Alligator mississippiensis: one gene and its partners. The protein of the gene in region 2 purifies or fractionates together with the protein of the main gene of each other region. This does not show direct contact. Links are inferred from orthologs where the notes say so. Each region holds a gene or a part of one and is shown on either strand. Other genes may lie near its edges.

Region 1 (6,940 bases), on a different chromosome or scaffold from region 2:
GTACATCCATAGAGCTGTGTGCATGTATTTGCGAGCAAGCACAGGTCTGTATGGTGGGATGCAGTGGCAGAGTGGCTAAAACAGCTTGCTATTACTCTGAAGGCCTGAGTTCGAGTCTTACCCTAGACTGCTTAGAAGGCTGCCTGCAATTTCATGAGTTGTGAAAGGGGTAGCCAGGTGCTTCGGCTACAATGCCCTAAGCTTCTCCGATAAGTGATAGTATCCATGGAAAATGGCATACTCCAGGGGGGGAAAATATATCCATAGAAGATGGTGTCCTCCTGTTGCAGGAGAGTGAGTATTGTTTATGTTCTGACTTCTAATGTTGCTTCATCCTGGGGGCTTGGACTGAGTTTGCTGGGTCTGTCCTACCCCCTGAAGACACACCACAGCCAAAACATGGCGCTGGCATATTCAGCAGGGAAAACAAGGGGCTGGAGGGTTCCCACAGCCTCAGCTCCCACCTGCTGTTCCTCCCCGCACAGAAGGGGACCTCACCGGGAAGAGCGGTGATGGCTGGAGGGTCGAGGGAGGCAGCGATTCTCCCTTCCCGATGCCCACAGCTTCGACGTTGAAGGTCATCTGGCCCCGCCCCCTCCCTCTGCCGCCCCGTCCTGCCATGATGCGCTGGCAGAGACAAAGCAGACATAAGAGAGCTGGGATCCAACGCAGCCGAGGCCTGAAAGGGCAGAGACAGAGAGCCCCTTACAACCCATGGGAACCCTCCTAGGGCCCATTGCCCACATGAAACCCACACCCCAGGGCAAGAGATGAGACCCCAGGCGTAACGTGCAGTTAGTGTGCACAGTTGGCCATAAATTGCCCCAAGGAATCTCTCATCCTCCCCTTTAAGGCTGTAAGATGCAAACACAGGGAATCAAACCAGCCTATTTCAAGCCCCCTTTTAGCCTTGCTTCCTCCATGCCACCTCACTCTCCTCCTGCTATGCTGAAAATTCCCTTCCCAGGAGGTCCTACCTGCTCCTCTACTCCCAGGCCTGCAAGAGCTGCTTTGTTCACATGAGGCAGGCTGGGAAGGGTGAGATGTCTCCAACCCATGCTTCACTTCTCTCCAGGGAGGTTGTCATATAATCCCAGGGCAGGGGGGCTGGCACCTAGTGGGGCAGGATCACCCTGTCCTAACCAACCCAGACACATCCATTCACTCATCGTGGTGTCCTGTGACCAGTGGGGTCCCCCAAGGCTCTGTCCTTGGACCCATACTGTTCAACATCTTCATTAATGATGTGGACACTGGAGTCAGAAGCGGACTGGCCAAGTTCGCCGATGACACCAAACTTTGGGGCAAAGCATCCACACCAGAAGACAGGCGGGTGATCCAGGCTGACCTGGACAGGCTCAGCAAGTGGGCGGATGAGAATCTGATGGTGTTCAACGCCGATAAATGCAAGGTTCTCCACCTTGGGAAGAAAAACCCGCAGCATCCTTATAGGCTCGGCAGTGCTATGTTGGCTAGCACTATGCAAGAAAGAGACTTGGGGGTCATCATTGACCACAAGATGAACATGAGCCTGCAGTGCGATGCTGCAGATAGCAAAGCGACCAAAACGCTGGCTTGCGTCCATAGATGCTTCTCAAGCAAATCCCAGAACGTCATTCTCCCTTTGTACTCGGCCTTAGTGAGGCCGCAGCTGGAGTACTGTGTCCAGTTTTGGGCTCCACAATTCAAAAAGGATGTGGAGAAGCTTGAGAGAGTCCAGAGAAGAGCCACGCACATGATCAGAGGTCAGGGAAGCAGACCCTACGATGACAGGCTGAGAGCCCTAGGACTCTTTAGCTTGGAAAAGCGCAGGCTCAGGGGTGATCTGATGGCCACCTACAAGTTTATCAGGGGTGACCACCAGTATCTGGGGCAATGTTTGTTCACCAGAGCGCCCCAAGGAATGACGACTAGGTCGAATGGTCATAAACTACTATAAGACCGTTTCAGGCTGGACATAAGTAAGAATTTCTTTACTGTCCAAGCCCCCAAGGTCTGGAACAGCCTGCCGCCGGAGGTCGTTCAAGCGCCTTCATTGAACACCTTCAAGAGCAAACTGGATGCTTATCTTGCTGGGATCCTATGACCACAGCTGACTTCCTGCCCTTTGGGCGGGGGGCTGGACTCGATGATCTTCCGAGGTCCCTTCCAGCCCTAATGTCTATGAAATCTATGAAATCTAAATGTTATGTAAGGCTACTGTCCACCCCGACACAAGACAGCACACCCAAAACTGCCACGGGGGAAGAAGGGAACCATGGCCGCTGACATCCTGTTTCTGTGAGCTGCCAGCAATATATGCTCCAGGGATCCCAGGTAGAAGGCCATACCCCCCACTACGGAGGAAGGTAACTCTCCCCCCCCCCCCCGTTTTTTCCAATCTGACCAGTGGGTAAAATCCCTTCCTGACACCAAGGCAGCATCAGTCTGATCCTAAGCAATGGGGCAAAAGCCTCTAGCCAGGCCCCTCCAGGCCTGGTGCCTAGGAGCACTGGCACAGCCCAGTCCCCATCCCCAGCCTCTGGGGGAGCCTCATCATCACCTTGACCCGTGTAGCAGAAAGGGGCAGGGGGGCAACCAGCAAAGCCCAGAAGCCCAGGACTTGCCCATCTGATGCAGAGCGCCCCCTTCCCTGGGCCTCTATGCCACTGCCCCCCTCCTGGGTCCCGACTGGAGAACGTGAGTGTGTAACCGGAGAAGGGCCCCCTGGGGCAGAGCTGGCATCCCAGCGCAGGCCGGGCAGGCTCCGTGCCGGGTGCGCACCCGCAGTGCCCCCGCGGGGCGGCAGCAGCGAGGCAGCCCCCGGGCGCGGAGGGCCCAGCGCGGGCTGCACAGAGCAGGCCCCAGCCCCAGCACCGGCCCCGGCCCCGGCCGCGGGGGTGCGACGCTGCCATTGGGCCGCCGAGCCGGACCGGGCCCAACCGAACCGCGCGTTACCTGCCCAGCCCGACCCGGCCCCGCCCGCTCCGCACGTGGCCGCCGCGAGCCCGGGATACAGCGCGTTCCAAGGGGCGGGGCCGGGGCGGGCCGGCGGGCGCTCATTGGTGCGCGCCGTGGCCATTCGGGTGACGTAACAGGAGAGGGCGGGGCGGCGGCGCGGGAAAGGGCTATAAATGCGGAACCCGTTGGGGGGGAGGGGGGAAGGGCTCTTCCTCGCTGCTGGTTTGGGGGCGTGTCACAGTCCCTGCTGATTTTGATGGGGGGCGGTATTTGTATATGTGCCCCTGCTGGCTTGTGGGGAAGGATGTATGTAGGTCTGCGGGGGGAGGTGGATGCAAAGCCAGCTGTGGAGTGGAAGAAACCAGCTGCTCTTGAGTCTAGGCCAGGGCAGCCGCAAGGAAAGGGAACTCCCCCTGAATCACCTATTGCACCCTGATGGACCCCTACTGCTCCCTCGTGGCTGCAGGGTAGGGGCGAGACGGACAAATCCCGCGTGAGATGGGATTGGTGATTCTCAGCCAGGGTGCTGCAGTGCCGTGGGGTGCCTGGAGATCCTGCCCGGAGGGGCTGCAGAGTGCCGCACCACGTTAGTGCGATTAGGTGCGTGCGCGCGATTCGCAAGAGGAAACCAAAGAGCATTCGGAGCTGCTGAGGTCTTTGCAACAGAAGAATTGCTCCAGGATTTTTCTGTCGTCAAAAATAAAGTGAAGACTCGGAGCTGACATTTTCTGAGGTGTGCCTCGAGTCTGAAAAAGAATGAGGACCACTGAATTGGACAAATGCATGGATGCCGGGTCCATCAGGGGCTATTACACCCAGCAGCTGGGGATATACATACCCATGTCCTACCAGCGGTGGCTGGGAAGGTCAGGCTGAAGGTGTATCGCTACCCACATGCTAATTCCCAGATTCTTTAAAGCATTAATTACTTGCTGCTTTTGGAGACGGGAAACTGGGCTGGAGGGGCCTCCGGTCTGATGCAGGAGGCTATTCTGTTCTTGCTAATATTGAGCAGTGATAAGGATGAACCTCTTCCTCTGTGCACGCTCACACACGCGCATCTTGGGAGCCAGATCTGCTCACAGTTGCACAGATATAAATAGCAGAGAGAGGGATGGTTTCAGGAAGGCACATCCATATGCCCTGTTCTTTGCTGAAATTTCACTCCCCCCTCTTCCTCTGATTGCTGAGCTCCCTGCTGTCTTGCTTCCGCCTGCCTGCAAAGGCCTTGGGGCTAGGATTGAAGGCCATTGATGAAGGTGTGCATGCAGGGACCCCAGGGCTGGTAGAACAGGGGGTGTGGAGCACTGCTGGCCAGCACAGCACCCCCAAATATACTTGTCCAGTTAGCAGGAGGCCTCGGCCTGTTAGTGTACTGCCAGCTCCAGCAAAGGGTTAATGGGTAACCGCAGGAGATGAGCCCAGGAAGGCTGCAGCTATTTTTACCTGGGGAATCAAAGGGAGGCTAAACTATCTCCTGCCTGCAGATAACCAAGCTCCCCCCTGCCTCTTCTGTTCCCTCCGCTGCAACTTCCCATCACCAGGCAGCTGAGGGGGGCATAGGCTCACCAAGGAGAGAGCACCAGGAGAGGAACACTGGTACACTCGGCCTTGATCCTTTCCACCAAGACCCTACCAGGGTCATGGGGTGACATGGAGCTCCGGCCCTTGAAATGCCTGTGGGTGAAGTCCTGACTCTGCTGAAGTCTGTGGCAAAGCTTTGCACTGAGATCAAAGCCATCAGGAGGTCGCTTTACATATTGGCTGTGTTTGGGGTCAGTGCCGAAGCAAAGGGGAGCTGTGCAGATGTAGTTACAGGCCCTCCTCCGCCAGGCTTTTCTCCTATTGCTTCCTCCAAGCACCAAAGCTAGTTGCTTCGCCTGCCAGCCCAAGGCACTGAAGTCCTGGATCTGGCTGTTAGGGGATGTTCTGTCCTAATGATGTTTTCTCAACACCACCTCCTGCTTGACCCTTGCCCTGAGAGGTCAGTTACTATGTTTAAGCTGTAGCAGGAGTAGCCGTGTTGGTCTAAGGACATAAGCAGACAAAACTCTTGGGGTAGAGGTGATATCTTTTATTACACCAACTAAATAGTTGCAAAAACATTTTTTTGCAACTATTTAGTTGGCCTAATGAAAGATATCACCTCCAACCCCAGAGTTTTGTCTACATTTAAGCTAGTCCTTCCAATCCAAGTGAATGGAAGGAGCTGTAGGGAAATAGGGAAAGAAAAGCTGGCTTCATGGTCAGGAAAACTGGGATCAAGTTCCAGCTCTGACACCAAGGGCCAATACGTGGCCTCGACACCTCATTTAACCCTGCTGTGCAAAAAGGGATAGGGGGAATGATGGCACTGCCCTGGTGTGCAGAGAGGGTGAAGGTGAATACATTCGAGATCACAATAAAGTGCCCAGATACCATGGTGGTGGGTATTGGTATAAGCACCACAAATTGGTGGGTATTGGTATAAGCACCACAGATACCATGGTGGTGGGTATTGGTATAAGCACCAGATCAGGTCCAGGGTAGGGGGTTTCTGTCCCTTGAAACGTCTTCCTTATCTAGGGCGGCAGAGCCCCCAGCCCCTCTGAGCAGAATGAGGCACCACCACGGTTCCTCCCAATGCCAGCCTCCCCCCTACCCCCCCACCGTGATGCTTTCAAGCAGCTCCTCGGCTGTGTGCACTGGAGTGATTCATCTCATTCCCTGGTGCTGCCCAAAAATAGCAATGCAGGAGCTGGGGGTGGGGGGGTGCAGAGGATAAGCCAACTCGACCCCAAAATAACCACCTGCATCTGGGTTGTGCAGGGATGCAAAGAGGGAGAGAGAGGCACCTCGCTCCCACCTCCCGTTTCCAGGGCGCTGGGATCTATCCTTGCTCAGCAGCAGGACCGTCGCCCTGGGATACTGTGCCCAGCTGTGAAGTTGCCTAGGCAACCAAGGGAGGAGGATGAAGGAAGGGAAAGATGATGGGAAAGAAAGAGAGAAAGAAAGAAAGATCAGGGAAGGGATAGGTGGCCCTTTCCCCCACCCCAACTAGCTTCCCCTGCTTCATGGTTCACCTCAAGGACCAGTTCTCTCCCCTGCTTGAGATGTCATCTGGGATTTCCAAAGGGGTTTGGTCCCATGCACTTTCAAAAGCACTGGGGCCCCTTGGAGCATCTCCACTGCAGGAGGGCTCAGAGCTGCAGGAGTTGAAACCTGGGAGATTGGGATTGCCCAGCTAGGTCCTGCAGACCCTTGTGCTGCTTTATTAAACTCATGGTCCCAGTCAGTGGTTGGGGTGGGCCAGACCAGCTCAGCACACACAGCGGTGAGAAGACAGTGCGCCTGGCGCTGATAGACTTTTTGGGGTCCAAGAGTGCCAGCCAAGTCCTCCCAGGTGGATGTGCCTATGGGCATGTACATTCCTGCATTCAGGGGTATGCAGCCCTTTCGTGCATCCCCTACACTTACACCAGCTGGACACCCACTCCTCAGCCATTGCACCTACATAGTGCAATAAGCACTTTTATATCAGTGTAGCCGCATCTACATTAGTGGGTAGGACTGCGGCATCAGTAAAAAAAAATCACACCCCAAGCCAATATCACTGTCCCACTACAAAGCAGGGGCTGTACAGCACCTAGCACTACTGATAATGCCGCAGTGACAGTAACTCTGTTTTAAATCCTGCTGTCACAGAGTTGGGCTAAAATCAAAGGCTCACAAATTAGGAAGGAAATGGATTTTTCCCCCCGCTGCCACCTGGTTGGCTGAGAACTTGGGGCAAAGAGCAGGAGGGAATATAATTAGGCAGGGTAACCATAGCAACAGTGCAAGGCAGGTGTGAAGAAGTGTGCAGGCTGCCTGTCACAGGCTCCGCTGGATGCAGAGGCACATGCCCATCAGCACATCTGCCTGAAAATCTCCTGACCCTGCCAACCCTTGGCTGTATCTCACCTGTTCCCTTCATGCACTCAATGCTTTGGAAAGGGCTGGAGGAAATCATTGAGGTGGA
Region 2 (6,983 bases):
GTCATCTTCAAAGAGGACAAACAGAGCAGAGGGGAGACAGAGTGAGAACAGCATCTGTGACCATCCCTGCAGCTACAGCGGCCCATGCTTCTCTTTCTCCTCATACCTTTCTTCTTCATCATTTCCGCTGGGCCTTGCTCAAAGATGGAATGGGACTGAATGACCTCCGGCCTGCCTCTGCCCCGCCCATGGCCATCACGCTGCCGATCCCGGTCTCTCTCTTTCTTCTCTTTTTTGATGGAGACATCCTCCTTTGGCCTGAACAAAGAGTTTACAGCTTGTCTGATGGAACCCCCACATAATTCTAATACATTTGTAATTAGCCAGCCTCCCAATTTGCATTACATGAATTCCAAAGTACTTTAAAAGTTATCTGTGTTGTTAAGATGCAGCCACCCCTGGGGTGGAACGTGGTATCTGATGAACAGTGGACAGCAGCCAGTCCACGTTCAGTTCTTAAGACTAAGACATTCCACCCCACAGAGAAAGCATAAGATGGCCACTTACTCTTCTTTGATCTTCCTGCTAATTATGTTGGGGGTGAAAGTTTTCTGTAAACAAAAACAACAGAGCAAGTCATCAATTAAGGAAGTGCCAGGTCCAAGTCAAAGTCACCAAATATGCAGCTGTGGGCTGGCCTGAACCAATGGACCACACACACTGCAGCTGAAATCTGGAAGCAATGTCAGATCCTGCCCAGTGCCCACAAAACCTGCAAGCATTCTGGCTCTGGGCTCCTGATTGAAATTTTGCCCTGTGAAGGCAGCTTGCATAAGCCCCTTGCTTTATCCTGGCCCAGCACGTTTTTTTCCCCGCACTGGCCATGCAGTTTACCACATACACAATAATCTTGCATTGCAGGTCTCCAAATGTCTTATCAGGATCAGACTCTCCTGGGGAAAAACTGGCTCTACGTGCAGGCATGGCTCGGGGGGAGGAAGTGTCTTATGCAGCCAGGCTGGTTGCACATCAGACCCTGACTCGTGTACAGGCCCCAGCCTAAAAGCCTCTAGGGAAGATACAAGGCCCAGTTACACAACTCGCTCCCACAGGCATCAGTCCTTTGAAAAAGAGACCACAGAGAACACTGCAGGGAGTTCCAGGCTGCCCCTTCCTTCAGGACAATTCTCTTTACGTACGTCCTACTTTCAAATTGCTCTTCCAACACAAACTAGTTAAACCTGCTGCAAAAGACAGTGACCAAGGTGTTTGCCTCACCTTTTAGAGGCAGAAATGAAACTGAAACCTAAGGGATTTGGTTAAAACTGCAAAAGGAGACAATGTCAGGGTCGAGAAAAGAACCAAAGAGCTCTGGTCTGCAGAGCCCCCCAACCCAACACTATGCAGCCTAGGCACAGCCACACCCATTGCAACCCTGTCCTATCTAGTATGGGACACTTCCTTGGCTTTCTCAAGTGCATCAGAGAAAGATGCAAGCCAATCTAGATGGATAAGTATCCAAAAGCAGGCCTGCGAGCGAGGTTCCTTGCTATCCCCAGGAGTTAACCTTTTATTTACATCACTATGAGATACAGGCAGACAGTTTCCTGCTGCATCTGTAGTGCTTTTAATTTCAGAAGCGGGCAGCCTACCATGTACTTCGAGTGGTGTAACTTCCATTGGTCTGTGCACCCAGGGAAGTTACACTGGTGTCCGCAGCAGACAGCACACACGGGCACCTCCAAGGTGACCCCAATAAAGGCTGTGGATGCACGATCCATCCTCTGCTGTATAATTATTCCCACCTTTCCCAGCAGTAGCTCCTCTGCTACACATTTACGGCCACCACCCAAAGCAAGCATGTAACGTGTCCAAACCCTTATGCTCAAATGAGCCAAGAGCAACTAGCATCCCCTATTTAACAAGCGTCCCTGCCACTGGGACAGCATTGTATACATCTGCTTCAACTGCAAACCCTCTGGTGCAGGGTTCACGTCTTCTTTCATGGCCAGATGGTATCGAGCAAGCCACCTGCATGATGCACCACAGTCTGCCCACTGGAAGCCCATGGGCCAGCGCTGCGGGCACAAAATCAGGCCCCGTGGCGGTCTGATCCATGCTCTCCCGTGTGCCATTTGCGTGGTTAAGGAAAGCCAGGAGGGCAGTTTTCTGCCCAGAACAAGGGACACTTGCCTTCTTCACTCCTCCAAGAGTGAGGTCTCGGGAGCGGATGGAGGGGAGTCTCCCGGGGGTAATAGGGGTGGCAGTTCTCCTCCCGATCAGCCCGCGGGGCCCAGAGAGGCCCGGGCGGAGATTGCTCGCGTTTCCAGCATCGCTGCCTGACCCTGCTTCCGACATCCTCCCAGAGGACCTGGGGAGAGACGCATGGCTGGAGCCCCAGCAGCCCAGAGACCTGCCCTGCGGCCCATGGCGCGAGCACAGGGGGGGAAGCTCGCTGCACCCCACAGATGGCAGGCCGAGGGCAACGGCTGGGAGGACGAGCAGCAAGATGCTGTGCACCAGGGGCAAGCAGGACCCGGAGAACCAGACACGAGCGAGGGCTGCGCTGGAGCCCCAATGAGGCCAGAGGGGGACTCGGGCTAGGAGCCCTGCCCCGGAGCTGCCGTAGGGGCCCAGATCTCTGCCCCGGAGGGGACCATCCCCAGCAAAGCCCCACACTATAGGGGGCCCTGGATATAGGAGCCCTGGCTAGGCAGGGCCAAGCTATAGGCCCCCCTGGATATAGGAGCCCAGGTTATAGGGGACCCCGGGCTATAGTGGGACTCGTGGATACAGCAACCTAGGCTATAGGGGACCAGGTTATAGGGCCCCCAGGCTATAATGGGACTCTTGGATTTAGGAACCCAGGCTATACAGGCCCCTGGACATAGAAGCCCAGACTATACAGGCCCCATGGTGGGGGTCGTGGATACAACCGGCCAGGCTATAGGGGTGCCCCCACGCATGGCGCTCGCCGTCCCCTCCCCCATTACCTCGCCCGGCAGCAGCAAAAGGAAGCCCGTGGCCCAGGATTCCTCTTTGAACTCCCCCGCGCATGCGTAGAAGCGCAAGCGCCATCCTAGCGAAGGGCAAAACCCGGAAGGACGCCCGCCCCGCCATGTTTGGGAAGGGCGTTCTCGAGCAAGGGCGCCGCCATGTTTGTCAGGGGCCGGTGGCGGCGACGGGGGCCGCCATCTTTGCGAAGGGCACAGGCGGCTGTAGGGCCAGGGAGCTGGCAGAACAGCAGGGGCTTGCTGGGGGCAGCAAGCACCCAGGGGGCCTGGCCTTCAGCCTCCTGGGTTCACCAGTAGCCAGGGGCTGGCTTGCAAAGCCTTCCACTGCACCTGTCCTCCTTTGCCCTGCAGGCCCCTGGCCTCGGGCCCTCACGCCTGGCTCGGGGCTGTCCCTCTTATCCGGAGGGTCTAGTTCTGCTCCCGTCCCCTCGTCGCTCTCCTGCGTAGGAGACGATCCTGTTTTTGTATCACAAGCCATGTCACACATAAATATTGCATCAGCTCGTGATACTTTCACGTCCCCCTGCTCCTTCCTGCCGCTGGCGGAGGCTAATTTCAGGAGACTCTCAGCCTTCATTTAAAAGAAAAAGGAAAAGTATGCTCCTCGTTCCCTTGAGAGCACATGAAAAGCTGAGAAACCAGAAGGCAAGAAGCGGGGGAGGGAAGGAAAGATAAAAAATCCCTTGTTTTTCTTCCATCTCACGCCGTGCAGGCCAATCTCAAGTGCTTGGGAGGCAGCTCGTGACGTGCGAGTGCTTGGGGTTGGCAAAATGTGCAGCTGCAATTCTGCACACGCATCTCACAGCGGCTCCAATTTTGCACAAGCACTCAATACATAGTGCTTAGATGCCCAATTACCCGATACCCGGATGCAGCCACAGCGAGATGTCAAAGTGTGCCATCTCCAACTACTTACCTCATAAAACCGGGCCTGCCATTGCTTCCTGGAAAAAATAAATAAATCAGAGACTGCTTTGAACATCATGCCTGAGACCTATTAAAAACAAAACTTTCCCTGGCTGGTGCCAGTGGCTGCTGCTTGCTAGGAAACAGCCTCAGGTGCAACTTCACCTCCGCAGGTGTTAAGTGAAAATGGAAAAATCAAGTGTTGTTGGGTTTTAATTTAACACCTCTTCAGGAGGGAGTATATCCCAGCAATGAATGGCAACTGGCCAGGCCCAAGGGAAAAAAAAAACAGCCCCTGTTAGACTCAGTTGTTGCCATCACATTCATTTTCACATGTAACGGTAAAGGTGTTTTTTGAGACCAGCTCCTCTGAAACAAGAGGCTCTGCTCTTCCAGCCACTGCTCAGCAAAGCTGCCGGCAAAAAGCAACGTGCTGAAGATGCTGCTTTCTCTTGGCATCTCTTGCTTTGGTGTCTGTCCCCTCCCTCCAACAACAGGGCCTGAATAATCCTCACTTCTTGAGGTGCCTGGTGCACCCACAGACAGGAGCAATCAGCCGGGTCTGATCTGCTCAAAATCGTGGGCTGTAAGTTTAGCACGCACCTCCTCATCTCTGGCAAAAGACATGTATTGAGCTCTGCCACCACTTCCTTTGTTCCATTTTGTTCTTGCCGGTGGCCTCGAGGCCCATCAGGAGTGGCATTCGAACAGGGATCCCTATTGTCTCCAGTGCTCAGGCTTTTGTTAGATTAGAAATAGGTGCGTGGGCCCAGGGCTGATTTCACCTCTCCGTGCGTAAATGGGGAGTAGCTTCTTCTAAACCCCCAGCCATCTCCCACAGCTCCACGGTTACAGCACTTGGCTCATCCTTTTCAAAACTGTTTCCCTGGTAAAACACACGCGTAGCTGGGCTTGGTTCAATGTTGCGGGGCTGATTTATAGCAGCTGAGAAGTCGCCCACTTGTGCCTCAGCAGGCAGACAGCTACATGTTTTGCGCTCTTCCCCTTTACAAAGAAGGGTCCTGGGAGGTTCCCCTACCCTCAAGCTGCTCTGGTGTTGCCCTTTTTAAGGGGCTTTTAACTACGTGAGGGGCTGGGCAGAGAGAAGATGGTGCAGGTTTCCTCATGCAGTCAACAAGCTGCCCATGCAGATGGCCCATGGGGAAGGTGCCCCACTTTTCACGTGACCCGCATCATGCGTCTGATCCCCAGCAAAGAGACTGGGCATTTATCCACAGCTAGGCTGGCTGCAGGCAGCCTCTGGCAGAAGACTGCTGGGTGGTTCAAGCTCATGCCTGAAGGGTCTTGGAGACATCTGAGCTTCTCTGCTGCTGAGCTAACCATGTCCTCTGTGCAGACCATCCGGTCTTGCTCTCAGGTTATGGGGTTTTTTTTTAATAATATATTTTGTGTTCCAGGTCAAATCAGACAAATCGCTTCCAAATCACATCAATTGAGCAGGATTCAGTTGTCCCCAAAACCATATTGATTGAGCAAGCAGGGCTCGATTGTTCTAAACACAGCCGTATGGCGCTGCTACTGGCAAGCATCCTCCGTCCCAGGCTCTCACCCTGGGACTTCCGATGCCTGCCAATGGATTTGGGAGTAACTTACGTGCAGGCCCAAGCCTGGAGGTCTTGGGATTTGGATGCCTTAAAGAAACTACTTGATCTTAGCCCGCAAGAGGTTACACTGGTTTAAAGCAGGGGCAACTCCAATGCCAGTGGGGCTATTCGGTGCATCTGAGAGCAGGCTTTGTGTCTGATTCCCTCCTTGCCCCTCCAGTGACAGCCTGGCAGGACACACAAGGCTCTTCTACTTTCCCTGAAGGTCACTGACTTGGGTTGAGTCAGATCAGGGGAAGGCTGATGATCCAGATTGTGGGGTGTGCCTCCTGGACAAGGCCTGCTGGGCACTGTCCACTCAAGCTGATCTTAGCTGCCTGGGATGAGCTGAGAGGCAAGAACCAAGGCCCTTGAGGCCAGGCTGATATGCAGCAATAAGCAGAGGTTCCCAGCTGGGAAGTCTGGACCACCAAGAGAGGGCTCAGGGAGGTGGTAAGGTCTTAATAATGTTATCACAACACAGAGGACAGAACATCTTAAAGAATTTTTTTGCAAAGATCGAGTTTGTCTAATAAAAGATATCACCTCTGCCATGAGTTCTGATTCCTTTTGCCTCTAGACCAATACAGTTACAACCTGGATACCTGAAAATCTTACCCTGCACTCAGCCCACACCCTTCCTCTTCAAGCATGAGTGGTTTACAGCAACCCCAAAGAGCCATGTCAGGCTTGCATAATTAGTATGGGTGTGCACTTTACTTTTAAGGTAAATGGAAAGGGGGTGGGGGTGGGTGCACGTGCAAAGTGTTGGCTTTGAATATGAGACCATTGACCTGAAAAGGCTGAGAAACTGCATTAACCAGAATCCCCTCCACAGCCAGAAAGAGGACCCAGAAGTCCGGACTTTTTGTCCCTTCCTCTCCACACGCTGCCTCCTCTGCCGTTCTCTGCCCTGGAGCTGGGAGTGGACCCCAAAACCCCTGATTTGTAGTCCCCAGCTCTAACCACTGGATCTTGCACCCACCACAAAGCCAGGCAGACAGCCACATTCCCTGGCCTGCCTAGCAGACCACAGTCCCCAACCCAGCCACGCTGCAGAGGTGCCTGCTGCAAATACAATCTCCTTGCAAGTGTGGGGAAAGTTGAAGGGTCCCAGCTTGGCAGTCCTGTCACCAGGGGCTGGCCTGGCTGCAGACGTGAGGGGCTCCCAGGGGTGCCCTCGTCTTTACACTGGGTACATTAGGCCAATATCCAACTCCTGCTCATTCTGGGGAGCCGTCCCATTCTCCCAAGGGTCCCTGGGCATCACTTGGCCCTGCTGTCTCCATCCTATGTACATTTGTCACCCCTCTGCAACCAGCCCCCGAGCCCTGCTCCCCTCCCCACGCCAGCTCCTGCTGTTGGTGCGACACCCCCGCCCTGGGAAAAGCCTCTCTGATTTCTCCTTGCTGTCCCTGCAGCTCATGGAAGCCAGGCTGGGAATGTGGCTGCTCATCACCTGATGCTTTGCAGCCTGACCGCCGATTGGCGGAGAAGGCCTGGATTTTTTTTTCCTCCT
Region 3 (7,651 bases), on a different chromosome or scaffold from region 2:
TGCATTGCCCCGGACCATGCTGTAATTGTTTTATGACGGTTAACAGGAATATCATTAGACTGTCATCTCAGATATGATTCTATCATATTCTGCATAGCTGTAGTGTTGATAACTTGCTGTAAACTATGTAGTCTTTCTTCCCAGGCAATCTCACAATAAAGTGTGTAATGCCAACAAGATTCACCAAGGAGGTAAGCGCATGCAGGCTGCTTCCAAACCAAAAAGTAAGAGACCTATTATGACTGGATAGTCAAATAAACATACATTTATATTCAGTGCACTCTCTTGGAAGTGCCATAATTCAATATGTAAAGCAGAATGAATATCTCATCCCAACCAAATGCAGAATAGCAGTCACTTTATTCTCTGATAAAATGACTGCAGTCAATTTTGCCACAACACTATGACAGGGTGACATTAACTATCTATTAGCGCATCCATCAATAAAAAGTCAGGGTATTAGGCTTTTTTTTTTTTATTTGAACTAAAAAACCCGAAGCTTATTTTCAATCTGCATTATGATCAATTAGATTTCCAAAGCTTGGCTAGAACAGCTATCAGTATGCATCACTAGTATTTTACAGTGAACAGAGAAGACATCCTTTCCCCGTTTTTCTTCATTCTGTATGGAGGTTTGATTTTTATTTATTCATTGTACAGGAGTACATTTCCTCAACGGACTAAAAATCTCTCTCTGCGCTGTATTCTTAATGCACACATGTTTCTTCATAGACCCCTCAAGAATAATATTGCCAAGACTAGTCTCCTGTGCATACCTCTCTCACCTTTGATGGTTGTGTTATTTTTGCTAGATCACAGAGAGGTACTTGTACTTAGACATGTTACTGTTAAGTCAGGTAGATGGCAGAGTAGAGCTAATTACACCAGAGATGCATAAGCTTTCATAAGCTTGAGCATACTTCATTAGGTGCTGTGAAAGGACATGCACACAGCAGTCTATGTAAAAATAGTGAGAGTGATTTGAATACAAAAGGCAGGGTAGATTTGCACCTTATAGACTAGAACAGTTAGTCTATGAAGTGCAAATCTACCTTGTCTTCTGCCTGACTTCAAACTAACACGGCTAATTACCTCACTATTCACAGGATACAAGACAGAGAATGGATAGAGTAAAGTGGGGGTAGATAATAGCTAGGGACCTACTGAATTTGTGGCAGTTGTTATCTGATTTTGCAGTTTGAGTACAGGGCCAGGCGCCATTTCTGCAGTGCCACCCTCCACCCCGTATTCCTCTGATTGGCCAAGGGGCCCTGGAAGTCCTCTTGCTCCTGAAAATTGATAGATGGCAATCTGTTAGTCTCCAGGACTGCCAAGACTTCCAGGGCCCCCTCAGTCAATCAGAGGCATGTAGGGGGCAGCAGCCCACCACACTCCACTGCAAAAATTTCCCCCTGCCCCCCCACCCTGCTTCAGGATGCCAGGGCTTCCCGCCCTTTTCTGGTTTTGCAACCGCCCTCCCCCCCACCCCGCCCAACTTGCTGCTGATTTTGTACCTTTTCTCAGTCCCTGTGCTTTTTCACGGGGACCAACTGAATTTGCGGTTTTCTTGAAAATCCCGAATTCAATAGGTGCCTAATCATAGCCAAGCCAGGGAATCAGGATCAGGTAGGTGGAGTGAAACAGCCCTCCAGGTAACACAGGTCACTTCTACAGTCAAGTTCAGAATTCAGCAATATCTTTTTCTCATTAAAAACCTGAATGCCCTCTCCAATACACTGCTCTCCAGAATGCAGCAGGATAGATAACAAGCGGGCTGCCTACAGCGAACTCACTTTTAGGGTCAGGACACCTGAAGCAGCAGCTCTCAACCTTTTTAGACGCAAAGAATCTCTCAGAAAATGCCAACGCTTATGTTCGCATTCTTTGACTACAAAAAATAACAGAGCCATTTTTCTACTGCAAAGACCATGATGACAGGGCAGAACATTTCCTTTCATTGTGGACAGCTGGATAAAAACATCAGCTTGGTGCCATCAAGAAGGCAGACAAAATGCGAGGGATTATTAAGAAGGGAATTGTAAACAAAACAGAAAGTGTCCTTATGCCGCTTTATAAATCCGTGGTGCATCTACACCTTGAATGCAGTGCCCAGTTCTGGTTTTCACACCTCAAAACGGAGGCAGAAGAACTAGAGATGGCCCAGAGAAGAGCAATAAGGATGGTTAGCGTATGGAGGGGCTCTCCCAAGGGGGGAGACTACAGAGCCTAGGCCTATTCAATTTAGAAAAGAGCTGGTTGCAGCAGGGGGCACGAGAAGGATTTACAGACCAGTAAATGGTGAACAGACAGTACCAGGGACAGATCATCGACTCTCCCGAGACAGGAACTAGACAGTCACAGAATGAAGCTAGCAGGTTGCGAGTTCAAAACCAATTAAACCAAGTTTCTTTTCACACAGCAAGTCATGCAAGTGGGAACCTGCTGCCCTCACACGCGGGGGAAGCCGACAGTTCAGCCACATTCACAAAGGGCCTGGACAAATTGTGGGAGGAAAGCAAAGGGCACCAGGACCAGGGAGCGCGGGGCCCGGCCCGGAGGCTGCAAGGGCGACAGGAGCAACCTCGGGCAGACGCGGCCCGCGAGCCTGTGCCGGCCAGGCCGCTCCGCACTCCCCTGAGGGAACCTCCACCTCCCCTCGTGCCCTCCACGCCCAGCCGCGCCCGCGCGCAGCAGGCCTCGCTGGTCTGCGGAAGACACAAACAGACAGGAGAAGGCCTCACTCGCCCGGCGGCACAGGCCGCGGAGCCGCCGGCCCCGAGCTGCGGCAGGCCCCCGCGTCCGCGGCGGGCCACACGGGGAAGGGGAAGGGGAAGAGGACGGGGCCCCGCGCCAGCAGGAGCAAGGCCCGCGCCCGCCCGCCCCCAACGCCGCCTCTCACCGCTCCAGCTCCGGGTCCTCGTCCATGGCGGCCCTTCCCCCCGCGGACGGTTGCAGCACCGCGAGGCCGGCCGGGGAAGGGGCGGGGTGCCGCCGGGCCACGCCCCCTTCCGCGGGCGGGGCGACGCTGCCACGTGCGCCGATGGGGGCGGGGCCCGGCTGTCCCCGCCCCCCGGTGCCGCCCCCGGCCCGTCGGCTCCTGCCCGGGGTTCGCTGGTGGCCGGGGCTCGGCGGCGGCGGCTCCTCCCCCCCACGCCCTGGGGCCGGGGCCGGGGCCGGGGCGGCCGCGCAGTGCGGGACAGCTGCCCCCGGGCCCGGGGCGGACGAGCCATCCGTGGCGGTGAGTAACTTCCCGGCTCGGCTTAGGGCGTCTTCTCCCGCCCGGCCCCCAGCAAGGGCATCGCCCTGGCCCGCGCGGGGAGGCCGGAGCTGCCGGAGGACCGCGGGCGCTGCAACAAGTGTGGGGCGGGCAGGAGCATGGGGCGGGCTCGGGCGCAGCCAAGTTTGCTCTGGAGACCGCGGTGCGGGCAGGGGCAGGCGGCTGCCGCCGGCGGGGGGAGGGCGAGTCCCCTCTAGGCACCTCCGCATGTGCTCCCCGAGCCGGAACCCTTCCCACGCTGGGCTCCGGTCAGGGGGAGAAGCCCTGAATAAACAGGACTGCCTCCCTGTTGTTTGCCAGTCTGACATTTAATATTGTGCCGGGAATAAAAAAAAAAAAAAAAAGTCCCCCCCCTTTATTTTGCATCCCTGACCATTGCTCCAGGCGCAGTCAGCATCATGGTTGCAGAGGTGTGAGGAGAAAAAAGGGTTCATCCTTTTTTTCCTAGCCTATTGCCATTCCTCCTTTCCAGCACAGAAATGAGGTTTCTTCATGGTGGTTCTGGTCCTGCACTTGCTCAGAGGGAGGGGAGTGGGTATTTGCTGGCTGCAGCTGCAGGCTGGAAGAGCTACAGCTATTCTTTTCCCAAACCTGAGCTGTCATTATATGCTGAAGGCTGCACTGAAACCTAAATTGCATATGCAACAAAACTGATATTTGTGTTTCGGCTTGTGTACGAGGGATTGACTGCGGATGTATTTATTCAGCCTGTTACTGAAATACGTGTATGCCGCTCGGATGTAATTTTATGAAAGAGTTCTAAGGGCTGAGGAGGAGTTGAATTACTGTGTGTGTGGGAGGAAGAAAGAACAGCTGCAAGCAAGCCCCTGTTATAGGAGTTGGGTTCAGGTTATGTGTTTCACAACCCTACCATAGCAAATCATAGCTAAATGTACACCTCGAAGCATCTATAATAGACAGTTATTTCAGAAGAGTAAATTTCACTCTCTCTTCTCTAACAAAGGCCCTATTTTTTATTCATTAGTTTCTATCTGTGAAAAATCTGTAATAAGGGATACTTCAGAGTCATTCTTGCTCTTGATGAAAAGTTAGTAATCAGCAGTGTAGCGAACTGGTAATTTTGGATGTGCCCATGGCAAATATGACAGTCCTCTGTGACTTTTTTTACTGTGTTGCTAATGTATATACCATTGGATTGTTTACTTCAGTAGAAATCCACTATTAAGCAGTTCTGAGCCTTGTTTAATTCCTTTTTTAATTACATTACAATGTGGGTTTATTTTTGTCTTTCTACAAAGTAAAAATGTCTGTTACGGATTAACCCCAGGATATGGTTGATGATAGTGTCTGAAAATAAATGTGTGTGTTTGGCCTTCTGTTAAAAAGGGAAATTATTCTGAGCTAGACTCTTCATCTCATTAAATAAGTTGATTGATTGATGCTTATGCCTCTTCCCACTTCTTTTTGGCTTGCTGATGTTTTACCCTAAGCATGTAATCTGACAGCAGATAAGGAGGCTTAGGAAGAAACATCAGATGGTTTGAGTTAGCATCCCTACCCACTTTCAAAATAAAGATGCTGGTGCCATATGTTGCTGTGCTTTGTTAAAACAAATTTCCTCAAAATGGAGCCAAGGTGTATACATCTCCTTTCAGGAACATTAGTGTGGCTTAATAAAGCACTACTACCATAACTTTTCTGAGGAGTAGTAGTGGGAGTCCTGTCTCCCTCTACTTGGTGCTGTATTAGCTGATGAAGTATTTCAGGAAAAGAAGGATTGGAATAGGCTTACAAGCAATTATGGAGGAAGTCAGCTGGTTAGCACAGAACTGTTAGATAAGAAAACATTGCATGGTGAACTGGAATGATTTATAAAAATAACCTATTTGCCTTTTTAAAATTACTACAGCCCACTGATATAATTAGTAATTACAAATAAATTATTTAAAATCAATGCATCTAGTAATACCTTCCTAACTTGCTGAACAGTTCATCCTTTTTTAGGCTTTAGTTGCATCAACTCAAGCAGGCCAAACCTTGACCCTTGAATTCAGCCCCAGCTAGAGAAGTCAATAGAATACTTTCACATGTCCTGTCAATAATTTACAAGCCTAATGTCCATTTAAAATGAATCAATGTGTTTTTCAGTGAAACGGTAACAATTTTGCAAGAGGATTAGGCACCACATACTGGTGTTTGTTGCGGAAAGATGCATTATGTTATTTAAATATGAACATCTTAATTTTCATTTTTCAAAAACACGGACTCTGATACTGCTGACTGTTCTCACAGGTGCAGGGGTCTGCTCAGAGAAGTCCGGTTGATGTCAGTGAAGGTTTACCTGCCCAGAGCAGCCTGTGCCAAGACCCTGATGCACATACTTGTATATTTATATCATGAACTTATTTGCTAACCCCACCCCATCCCCAAGTTGATTAGCTTCTGGTGTAAGCATCATTGTCTAACTGAAATATAATATGCTTCAGAAAGCAAGCAAAGTAGGTCAGGTCCCTAAGTCCCCTGCTAATTTTTATGGCTTCATTTTCTCACACTTTTAAGAAATGTCTTCCATTGTTTGAACCTGACAGTGCAGAAGGGAGAGCAGTATTGATAATCTCCCTCCTAAACTAGAAGTGGAACATATGGAGATTGTCTGTTTAGTCACTGGATAAAGCTAAATTAATTTCAGGAATCTGTAAAATGTAGCTCTTGTTAGGAGTTATTAGATGTTAACATCTGTAACTAAAAGGAAAGCAGCACTCACTTAAAGCAATGCTCCCATACTTGGTGTAGAAGATGAGAGGAAGCAAAAATTCCAGCCTTGTAACCAGTGAATTGCCTTTGATATTTGAAAGCTTCATAATGATTGTAAAGCAATTTGTTAATATGATATCATTGAATTATATGCTGCTTAATTGCTTTATTAGGCCAATAGAGCTTGTTGTTTAGAAAGTCTACTACCTTTTTTAAGATGCAATCTGTTTAAATGCCACTATGTAATTGTTGGGTCATGCTTTCTACAGTGCGATAGAGAACTATAAAGTTGTAATGCAGGATTTTTATGGCTTTAACTATAAATATTTATATATGCACTTAAATTTAACTGCATTTTTTGTTGCAGTCGGTGGGACTATTTTTGCATTTCATTTTAAGTTTGTGCATACATATTTGCAGATCAGGATTTATATCTGTAAAGTTTGAGATTAAACACTTGCGTGTTTTGGTATTAAACATTTCATGTTTTTTATGAAGTGTGCGTTCTCTGGTAGGGATATGATATGGATATATAACTTCTGGTTTGGAATCGCATTGGTTAATGTGAATGCCAGTGCCTAGATCAGTGCTTCCCAGACTCTTCCTCAGCATGACCCCACTCATGGCCCCATTTCCTCAACATGGCCTTTCACTCTCAACCCACAGCCCCCCACCCTCATGACCCCATCTGATGATGTTGCAACCCCATTTGGGGTTGTGATCCGCAGTTTGGGAACTGCTGGCCTAGACGCTTTTCCAACTTGCAGCTATGCTCTGGGTGGTATTAGCTTAATTCAGGCAACATTCTGGCATATGAGCTGACATGGTACTTTCAGGACTTTTCTCAATAATATGAATGTCCTGCTCTTTACTTCAAGTGTTTTTGATATGATCTAGCTTACGTTAGAAATAGTTACAATGCTTTATTTTTACATATATTTTAATTAATACCATTATTTCCCCAGATAATGGTGGTTGGTGTTAATCCACGTTTTCCTTACAGGAGTTTTGGTGAAAAAAAGATGTGCGGTTGTTTCTTTCAAGGAAGTAGCATATTGATCTGGGGTGCTCAGTTTGCTCCATCCAGCTAATTACACAGTAGAAGAACTAGGCATTTTTAAAAGTTTTTATGGTAATCTATATTTCTATATGTCAAACACACATAGTAAGGTTCTAAATTTTCATATAACTTGTACATTAGATAGTAAAAAATGATATCTGTATGGGTATAATTATGCAGGCTGGTGAGGAGAAGCGTATAGCATGTGAGGCTTCAGATGTAAGCTATACTTTGCATTTCTGTAACTTCAGTTCACAGAACTTCATGTTTCTGTAAAAACACTTTAATGACATCTTGTACTACCACTCTTAAGTAGTTGTTTCTCTCTCTCTTTTTTTGGTCAATATTTTAAGAAAGTGAGACCAAAACAAGTTGCAATTCTGTTCTCTACCTATTGTAGTCTGGTTAGGGGAGCCTGAATTTTCTTATTGTGACGTTGAAGGTAAGATGGTAAAATAAAATATATTTGAAGCAAGAATCTAGAACCGATTCTTGTACACAGTGATTTGCTCTACGTTTCATAAAACGTAAACTTATTACTTCTTTACTGTACCTGAAAAGACTGATTATGTATTGGTCTCCAGTGTCAATTGGATCTG
Region 4 (7,920 bases), on a different chromosome or scaffold from region 2:
AGCAGCAGGCTCACGGCATGATGCACAGGTAGCATTTTCTCTCACCGGACTGCATGTGGGGATGGGAAACAGAAACTAGCAACACGGGGCTTCTCCAACCCGTTTGGGATGGGGCTTTGTGCTACCTCACAGGAAGCCAGAGAGTTTCTTAGAGACCAAGAGGTCCATTTGCCAGCCAGCTTAGCTGCCTCTCTGCTAACCGATTAAACCTAAAGCAGCAACTAAATCTGTATGGTCTTCAACCAGATACCAGCTGTGGCATGGAAATCAAGAGGAAGTACGGTAGGCAAAGCAGCGCTGTCGGGACACCGAGGGGAAAACAAACTCAAACAACACTGAATGAACTCACCTCCGTTGGCAACGAGCAGACTGGGGAAGGAAGAGAGAGATTGTTAAATTGAAATGTCCTTGCTGCGTATTAAGAACAACCCCCTCATCCTTCTAGTTTGGACAGCTTCTCGCGCCATTACCATGACTTCTTACGCTCGAAGGCAGGGCAGAGAAGGACCTTTACGAGCTAAGATATATAGGCAGAGCATAAGCTTTTGCGAACTCAAGTTCACGTCACCAGGTGCTGTGCTACCTACCCCGTCTTCCGACTTGCGTCGGACTGAACACAACTACCTACCTCTCCCTTCTCACGTTACCCACACTGGGCTGCTAACGAAGCAGAGCACAGGCCTGCGGTACTGACCGTACCTCGGAAAAGGCAAGTTACCCAAGTTCACGCCCCTCTGAAGTTATCTGAATTACCATCTACTAAGTCACGTCCTGACGAGAATGAGACTCGTGTTGCAAGGTGTTCACCAAACCAGCATCAATTTTCACTGTCTTTTGCATTCAAGCGGTTACCTTTCCTTGTCGATGGAGCCCAGTAGTAGCAGCACAGGGTAAGAGGAGCAAAAAACCAGTGACAGCGATGATACAATCTGTGCTCTGCAACTCTTTCCCTATTTTGCTCTAATGAAAATGCATTTGCTCAATCTGACGGTCCTAAGTTCAGCCTTCAGAGAAACCGATGCGCACTGCAACACGGAGAGCGGCGCGCTGCAAGAAGGGACGGCGAGACCCGGGCAGGTGTTGCCCTCCTTAATTGCACGCTAATAAGGTTTTCAGGAACGAGCCTCGCTGTGTCGGTTTCCTCACGCGCAGGCGGCACCCAAGACTGCTACAACTTCGACGTCTGCGTAAGACTAAGTCGGGATCCGAGTCTTGGCAACCTCACTTCGGGGGGTCTCCTCCGAACGAATTCAGCAGCTCCAACCTCGCTCGTCTGGACTTAGCTTTATACGCACGGTATCCACCTTGAAACCTGGCGTGTCACGGGCCTAGCCAGAGCAAGTAACCCAGAAGTGTGAGCACGGGACTCCCCTTCAGGCGCAGAGTCGCGGCGATGTAACTCTGGACTGACCACCTCGCCTGGGCCTTGTCCCACGGGGGGCCTGGCCCCCTTGTCTGCCACAGGAGGCGCTGGTTATGACCACGCTCCCACCGTCACGACGTATGGAACTATGACCTCACTCCCACCGTCACGACGTATGGAACTATGACCTCACTCCCAGCCCCGTTTCCTCTCTGGCCCTGACGCCCACCCACGGCCCCGGCCCCAGGGGCAGCAGCCCACGTGGTGGGGTGCGGCCGAGCTGCCTCCCCCCCGGACTTGCCTCCGCAGTAAAGGACGCGCAGGGGGCAGTCGGCGTCCGCCCGGGCGCTGCTCCGCGGGTCCCCGCGGCCGTCGGGCATCGCGCACTCCGCCACGTCCGCCGCCATGGGCCCGGGAGCGAGAGCGGGTCAGGCAGGGAGCGGGGCGGCGGGTCCCAGGCCGGAGCCCGGCGCGCAGAGGCTGCTCACCCGCGCGGCCCCTCAGGCCGCAGTGAGACCGGACGAAGCGGCTGCCTGGACCCCGCCGCACCACATGCGACGTCCCGCGAGAGCAGCGGCCTCTCGCGAGAGCTCGGAGGGGGCCGGGTGACGTCAGCGAGAGGCTTGCTCGGGGAGGCGCTGAGGGCGCTTGGGTTAGGTTTGTTTTGAGCCTACGCGGCCGCCGTAAAAGAAAGGCTAAATGAAGCTAAGCAGGGTCGCGGAGGGTCCTCCCCTGGAGGGGAGACCTCAAGAAGGCCCGGGCACAGCTTGCAGTGAGTGCGGGCGGGGTGACCCTCAGGGCCCCTCGTGCTGCCTGTAGCCTGTCCACGTGCAGCTCCTCCCTGAGAAATGCCCCACAAGCAAACTCTGGCTGTGCCCATTTTACAGATGGAAACTGAGGCAGGGAATTCCATGCCACTGCTGAGACCCGGGGCATGTCCATCAAGTGAGGTCCAGCTCTGCAAGCGTGTGGGCCTGAGGACAAAGGCAGACAAGTGTCTTTGGCTCAACTGGTACCCGAAAACTTGCAAAGAAGAAGTTTTCCAATTATCTGAGTCGGTCTAATGAAAGAGATCGGATTGCCCCGAAGAGCCTCGTCTGCCCAGGTCCACAAAGCGCCTGCCCACGGGTTTCAGCAGTCCTTCGTGCTTGCACACGCGTCGTTCCTGAACAGCGACACTGCCAGAGGCAGCTGGGAAATGACTGAGGGTTTTTTTCTCCCCGTAAAAAAAAAAGTCATTAGAAAATTAAACGTTACATTTTTCTGTGAAATGTTTCAAGTCTCCATGAGACAGATGAAAAGGGAGGGTTTTTCTTTACATTTATCGTTTAGGTGAGAAGACATTTGTACAGGAAAAAAACTCTGGATTCAAATTTTGATCAGCTCCGTTAGCCGCGTGGTTTTCACCACGAGGTGGGACGCGACGCTGGATGCTCTCGCGTTCGTCGTATGACGCAGACCGCCTGTCGCTCGGTTCGCCTCCGAAAAGGGTGATTTGAGCCAGTGAGAGCAGTGGGGGAAAAGGCTTTAATGCACAACAGCAAAAGAGCTTCCCTTCTACCTCTGATCGAGTGCAACCCTCCCGTCGCACGCTTTACTTGTACGTTAGTGCAACTCCGGTGAGTTCAGTGGAAGACATCCTGATTTCCACCTGTGAAAGTGTACCAAGAATTGGGTCCAGTGACTCAGACCCTGAGGTGCTAACAGTTTTCATTCCAAAAAAAGCGCCGATCGCTTTGATGGGAATTTTGCCTAAGACCTAGGTAAAGATTTCAAGGTTTGGCCCCACATTTTACTGAATCCTAGAGAAATTTAACATTTCTCCCCTTGTTCCTTTCAAGGTCATTATCAGACCCTACACATAAACTATGACCACCTTTTACCAGACAATACTTCAGCAAAATTTAAGCTGCTCTGTCAAATTAAGTGGTTTAACATCTTTTAATGTGTATTGTGTATATGCCATATACAAGCCGTCACTCTTTGTGCCCGGTAACTTCAGCAAATATTTTTCTCTGAGATAAAAAGTCCTTTGTTTCTTCCTTTTGTGCGTGAACAGTCCATTTTGGAGCTTTGGTTTTAGGCATCTGTACAGCTCGATGTGTAGAAGGTGCTGATTTAACTGTTAAATGGATATTTTGCTGTTCGTTATCATTAACGTTGCCTCGATGATTGCTGTTGTTTGAGCCGTTTCTTGAGAAGACAGGTGACCTTCAATGCACGCAAGAAATCAGTATTACACGGAGTAACTTCCCAGAGAACAGGGGACGCAGAGTTCGCTGTGTAACTCCGCTGACTTCAGTTGAGTTACACCTGGAAGAGTGTGTCTCTTTGTGAGTATCACACCTACCTGTACCCTTCCCTGTGCTTGATGACGTCCCATAGTCAAGCAACGTCTTTTCATTAATGCTCTTGTATAACCAACGTGGCAGATTTTTGCAATGCTGCACAAATAGCGCTTGCGCCCTGTTGTGAGGTCTGGATGCTGAAACGGAGACGACGCGTGAGAAGACTCCAGAGATCCGTATCTTACGCTTCTCCCAGTATGATAAGTAGCATACACAAAATAGTTTTTACTTTTGGAAAGGTGTAAAGGTTTGATTTCATGAGAGGCTGCCCTATACCTTACAGTAAATAATAAGTATCTTTTGCAGGTATATATGGTCTCGCATCCAGTGATCTCAAAGCACCGTAGAACATGGATAACTGTTGCTAGCTGCATGTTCAGATCATTAAACTGAGAAATAATTGAGACGCAGTGTCCACTAACTGTAGGTATCCAGCCCAGGACACTTGGGTCTGACTTTGAAGAGATGCTGAGCACCAGCAGTTCCCATTGATTTCGCTCACAGCTGTGGGTGCTCAGTTCCTCTGAAAATCAAGCGTCCTGCACTGGGCACCCAACGCCAGTAGATGCTTTTTTCAATTTTAGGCTATGTGACTTGCCCAAAATATCATAGGAAGCCTGGCACGGTGCCTGTAACCGAAGAAAGCCGGTGAGGCCCTGTGACGCACCACCTGTAATGCTACGTCCTACTGTCAGTCTTCAAAACCAGGCTTAGCAGGCGGTGCCCATCATTCCCAAACAGCCCATTAAATCCCCCTGGCTAAACACTGGTTGGGACGCACTGTTTTTCATCACTGAGATTACACTGGACTCCCCTGATTTAATTCACGTGGGGCAACTTTTGGAGCTGTTCCTGTTTTCAGGCGGTTCGTATTCGAACAAAGCTTTCCCGGGCCCAATTCCCGAAGTGCGTGCTCGTGGGGAAACTTCTCAATGTAATACTTCAGTTCAGTTCCTACAAATGTTTTCTGGCGAGAGAGAGCGTGCAAATGTAGCCATCAGTTTTGCAGGAACAAAACCCAGTAGTGCAACAGGCGGCTCCATCTTTCTGCGCTCTAAACACACCAGCCCCGCTCCTGCTCCCCCGGAGGCGCGAGGACCAGGGCGCACGTGCTCCTCGCGTCTGCGCAGGCGCGGACCGCTGACACTCGGAAGCGCGCTCCGTGCGCCGGCCGTTCTGAGCCTCGCGGCGCCCCGTCGCCCGGGTCCTGCCTGCTACGGCAGAGCGGCGGGGTCATACTTGTGCTGTTCGTCTCGCCTCGCGAGCCCGCGGGAGCGGGGAGCCCGCAGCCATGCCCCGCTATGCCCAGCTGGTCATGGGCCCGGCGGGCAGCGGGAAGGTAGGTGGGGCCGGCCCCGCGGGGGGGGCGTTTGGGTGTGATGGGGGTGGGGGTGGGGTATTTGAGGTGAGGGGGGTCGGGGTGTCTGAGGATGGCAGGACTGTGGTTGGGGTGTCTGGGGGCAATGGGGGGATGGGGTTGGGGTGCATGGAGGAGCAGGGGGGTGCCTGGGGGGGTTGGGATTGGGGTACTTGGGGTGAGGGGAGGCGTGGGGGGGCTGGGGGCAGTGGGGGTGATGGGATTGGGGTACTTGAGGCGTGGGGGTGTGGGGTGTCTGGGGGCAATGGGGATGTGGGGTGCCTGGGGGTGACGGGGTTGGGATTAGGGTATTTGGGGTGAAGGGAGGCGGGGGTTGGGGTGTCTGGGGGCAATGGGGGTGTGGGGTGCCTGGGGGTGACAGGGTTGGGATTGGGGTATTTGGGGTGAAGGGAGGCGTGGGGGGTTGGGGTGTCAGTGGGCAATGGGGGTGTGGGGTGCCTGGGGGGTGACAGGGTTTGGATTGGGGTATTTGGGGTGAAGGGAGGCGTGGGGGGTTGGGGTGTCTGCGGGCAATGGGGGTGTGGGGTGCCTGGGGGTGACAGGGTTGGGATTGGGGTATTTGGGGTGAAGGGAGGCGTGGGGGGTTGGGGTGTCTGCGGGCAATGGGGGTGTGGGGTGCCTGGGGGTGACGGGGTTGGGACTGGGGTGCCTGGGGGAGGAAGCGTGGGGTGTCTGGGGTGGGGAATGGGGCAGTGAGGAAGGGGTGAGGGCCTCTGGCAGGCCTGCGCTGCCACGCGGGGGGCCGCGCCAGCGGTGAGCAGAGCAGAGCAAGGAGTCGGCTCTCGTCCAGAGAACCCCTTGAGTCAGGCTGGCGAGCTCCTTCCTTCTGCAGAGCCCGGAGGGCAGTGCAGGGGCAGCACCGGCCCCACTGCCCAGCAGCAGGAGCAGGGCATGGAGGGGAAGCAAGCACTGGTCACTGGTTGCTGCCAGGACACTAGACGTGGGGCCTGGGCATGGTCATCGCTGTCCTGTGCTTCGCCATCATGCTCTTGCCTCCTGTCTTGGGTGCCACAGCGGTTCATGACTTTCCCCCGCAGAGCACATACTGTTCGACCATGGTCCAGCACTGCGAAGCCTTGAACCGCTCCGTCCAAGTGGTTAATCTCGATCCTGCAGCAGAATACTTCAACTATCCCGTCATGGCAGGTGAGCTGTGCGGCACACATGTCTTTCCTCTGTTCTCAGCAGCACCAAAAACAATCAAGACTCACTGATTCCTTCTTCACTAGAACTGAGTTCTTGCACCTTTTAATGAGGCATAAGTCCCATTCAGTGCCCTGAATTTGCTTTATATAAGAACATAAGAATTACCATTTACTGGGTCAGACCGTAGGTCCATCCTGCCCAGTACGTGTGTCACGCAGTGGAGGGTGGATGCTGAAAGGGAGGGTGAATGCCTATTCTAGTTTGATATCGCCTTCCAGATTCTAAATCGGTTTTAATTTAAGTGTACTTTCTCAGGGGGGGTGTGCATGTACCTACTTAAGGATACAGAGGCATCATTTGCAAGACTAGCTTTCCTGATGAGCCTGCGCAGCAGTTAATGAGCTTCTTGGAAATAATTGGTTTTCTATGTTTTCCTGGTGTAGTCAGTGAGCTCCTGGTGGGGTTTTCCATGTGCTAGCACAGGGGAAAGCATTTGGGGAAAAAAAAGCGGTGTTTTAAAATCAGAAACATATGTAGGGTGACTGGGGGAGGAGGGGGTAGTTATAGTGTCCCAAACTACTTTTAACTCAGGTTTTTAAAAACAATGAGATCTGGAGTTCATTTTAAGAATTGCGTGTGTTGTAGTAACTTACCTTGGAATTTATGCATTTAGTGTAGTAAGCATACAGAAAGCCTTGATGCATAGCTCTTGTTCCAGATATCCGAGAGCTGATCGAAGTGGATGATGTTATGGAAGACGACTCTCTAAGGTTTGGTCCAAATGGAGGGTTAGTGTTTTGCATGGAATATTTTGCCAATAACTTTGACTGGCTGGAGGAATCCCTTGGACACGTAGAGGATGACTATATACTCTTTGACTGCCCAGGTAAGCTAACATTTTGCTTATGTGATACATAATTCGTGACATGTATTTTTGTCCTTGCTGTGCCTCTACATTAGAGTTACATTCCTGCATTTTAATGACTGTGTGTCCTAGGTCAGATTGAGCTCTATACTCACTTGCCAGTGATGAAACAGCTGGTGGAGCAGCTGCAGCAGTGGGAATTCCGTGTCTGTGGAGTTTTTCTTGTTGATTCCCAATTTATGGTGGAATCGTTTAAGGTATTGGCTTCAAATCTATAGTAAACATTGGGAAAAAAGCCCTACTATAATAATAAAAGACCATGAAATCTGAGGGAATGACTTGCCATGTTGCAAAGCAATCTGAAATCTCTTCAGTCAGAGAAAAACTGCGTGTTTCTGCTTTGTTAATGTCCTGTGCCTGGAATATTGTGTGTGGCCTCGGAGTTAGAGTGGGTGTCTGGGAACTGTTTTTCGGGGGGGGTGCTAGTCCCCCATCTCAAACTGACTTGCCATGTGGCCTTAAGTCAGTCACTTCCCTTCTGTAACCTGAAGAAAATTAGTGCTCAAAAAGTCCAGAGAGAGAGAGTTTTGTATGGAGAACTTCAGATGTATTAGGCTCCCATTAGAGGCTGATTCATGTGGATGGTCCTGGGAGATGCCTCCCTCTCCCAGTAAAGACACTCATCTTACTGGGCTCTGTGCCTGGATGCTGTTTCCCCTGCTGTGTTCCATATGATAGTTTATTGCCTGTCCACTAAAGTTTCCTGCATGTATGTATGTCGGCCTGGGTATGTAGGAAAAGATTAGAAAGGAAAGCAATT

Evidence for each region.
Region 1: the proteins of POLR3D (region 2) and POLR3GL purify together in Homo sapiens (co-immunoprecipitation; 4 studies listed by BioGRID and IntAct, counting the BioPlex papers as one, with this or other methods). This does not show direct contact. The link is inferred for Alligator mississippiensis from reciprocal best matches to the Homo sapiens genes POLR3D and POLR3GL.
Region 3: the proteins of POLR3D (region 2) and protein POLR1D purify together in Homo sapiens (affinity purification with mass spectrometry; 6 studies listed by BioGRID and IntAct, counting the BioPlex papers as one, with this or other methods). This does not show direct contact. The link is inferred for Alligator mississippiensis from reciprocal best matches to the Homo sapiens genes POLR3D and POLR1D.
Region 4: the proteins of POLR3D (region 2) and GPN3 purify together in Homo sapiens (affinity purification with mass spectrometry; 3 studies listed by BioGRID and IntAct, counting the BioPlex papers as one, with this or other methods). This does not show direct contact. The link is inferred for Alligator mississippiensis from reciprocal best matches to the Homo sapiens genes POLR3D and GPN3.

Annotation. Positions count from the first base shown.
Region 1 is NC_081838.1:17,886,262-17,893,201, reverse strand, and holds the start of POLR3GL (DNA-directed RNA polymerase III subunit RPC7-like), read right to left. Parts: upstream 3,005-6,940; 5' UTR 2,938-3,004; intron 1,323-2,937; exon of another isoform or gene 978-1,322; intron 680-977; 5' UTR 622-679; coding exon 499-621; intron 1-498. UniProt on the Homo sapiens protein: DNA-dependent RNA polymerase catalyzes the transcription of DNA into RNA using the four ribonucleoside triphosphates as substrates. Specific peripheric component of RNA polymerase III which synthesizes small RNAs, such as 5S rRNA and tRNAs.
Region 2 is NC_081830.1:21,616,522-21,623,504, reverse strand, and holds the start of POLR3D (DNA-directed RNA polymerase III subunit RPC4), read right to left. Parts: upstream 3,012-6,983; 5' UTR 2,934-3,011; intron 2,312-2,933; 5' UTR 2,299-2,311; coding exon 2,134-2,298; intron 552-2,133; coding exon 508-551; intron 259-507; coding exon 107-258; intron 1-106. UniProt on the Homo sapiens protein: DNA-dependent RNA polymerase catalyzes the transcription of DNA into RNA using the four ribonucleoside triphosphates as substrates.
Region 3 is NC_081824.1:428,177,666-428,185,316, forward strand, and holds the start of protein POLR1D, read right to left. Parts: upstream 3,008-7,651; 5' UTR 2,926-3,007; coding exon 2,900-2,925; intron 1-2,899.
Region 4 is NC_081833.1:2,186,055-2,193,974, forward strand, and holds the start of GPN3 (GPN-loop GTPase 3), read left to right. Parts: upstream 1-4,920; 5' UTR 4,921-5,002; coding exon 5,003-5,050; intron 5,051-6,126; coding exon 6,127-6,235; intron 6,236-6,953; coding exon 6,954-7,121; intron 7,122-7,232; coding exon 7,233-7,357; intron 7,358-7,920. Other genes in the region: DENR (density-regulated protein), read right to left, coding at 350-369, 1,665-1,770. UniProt on the Homo sapiens protein: Small GTPase required for proper localization of RNA polymerase II (RNAPII). May act at an RNAP assembly step prior to nuclear import.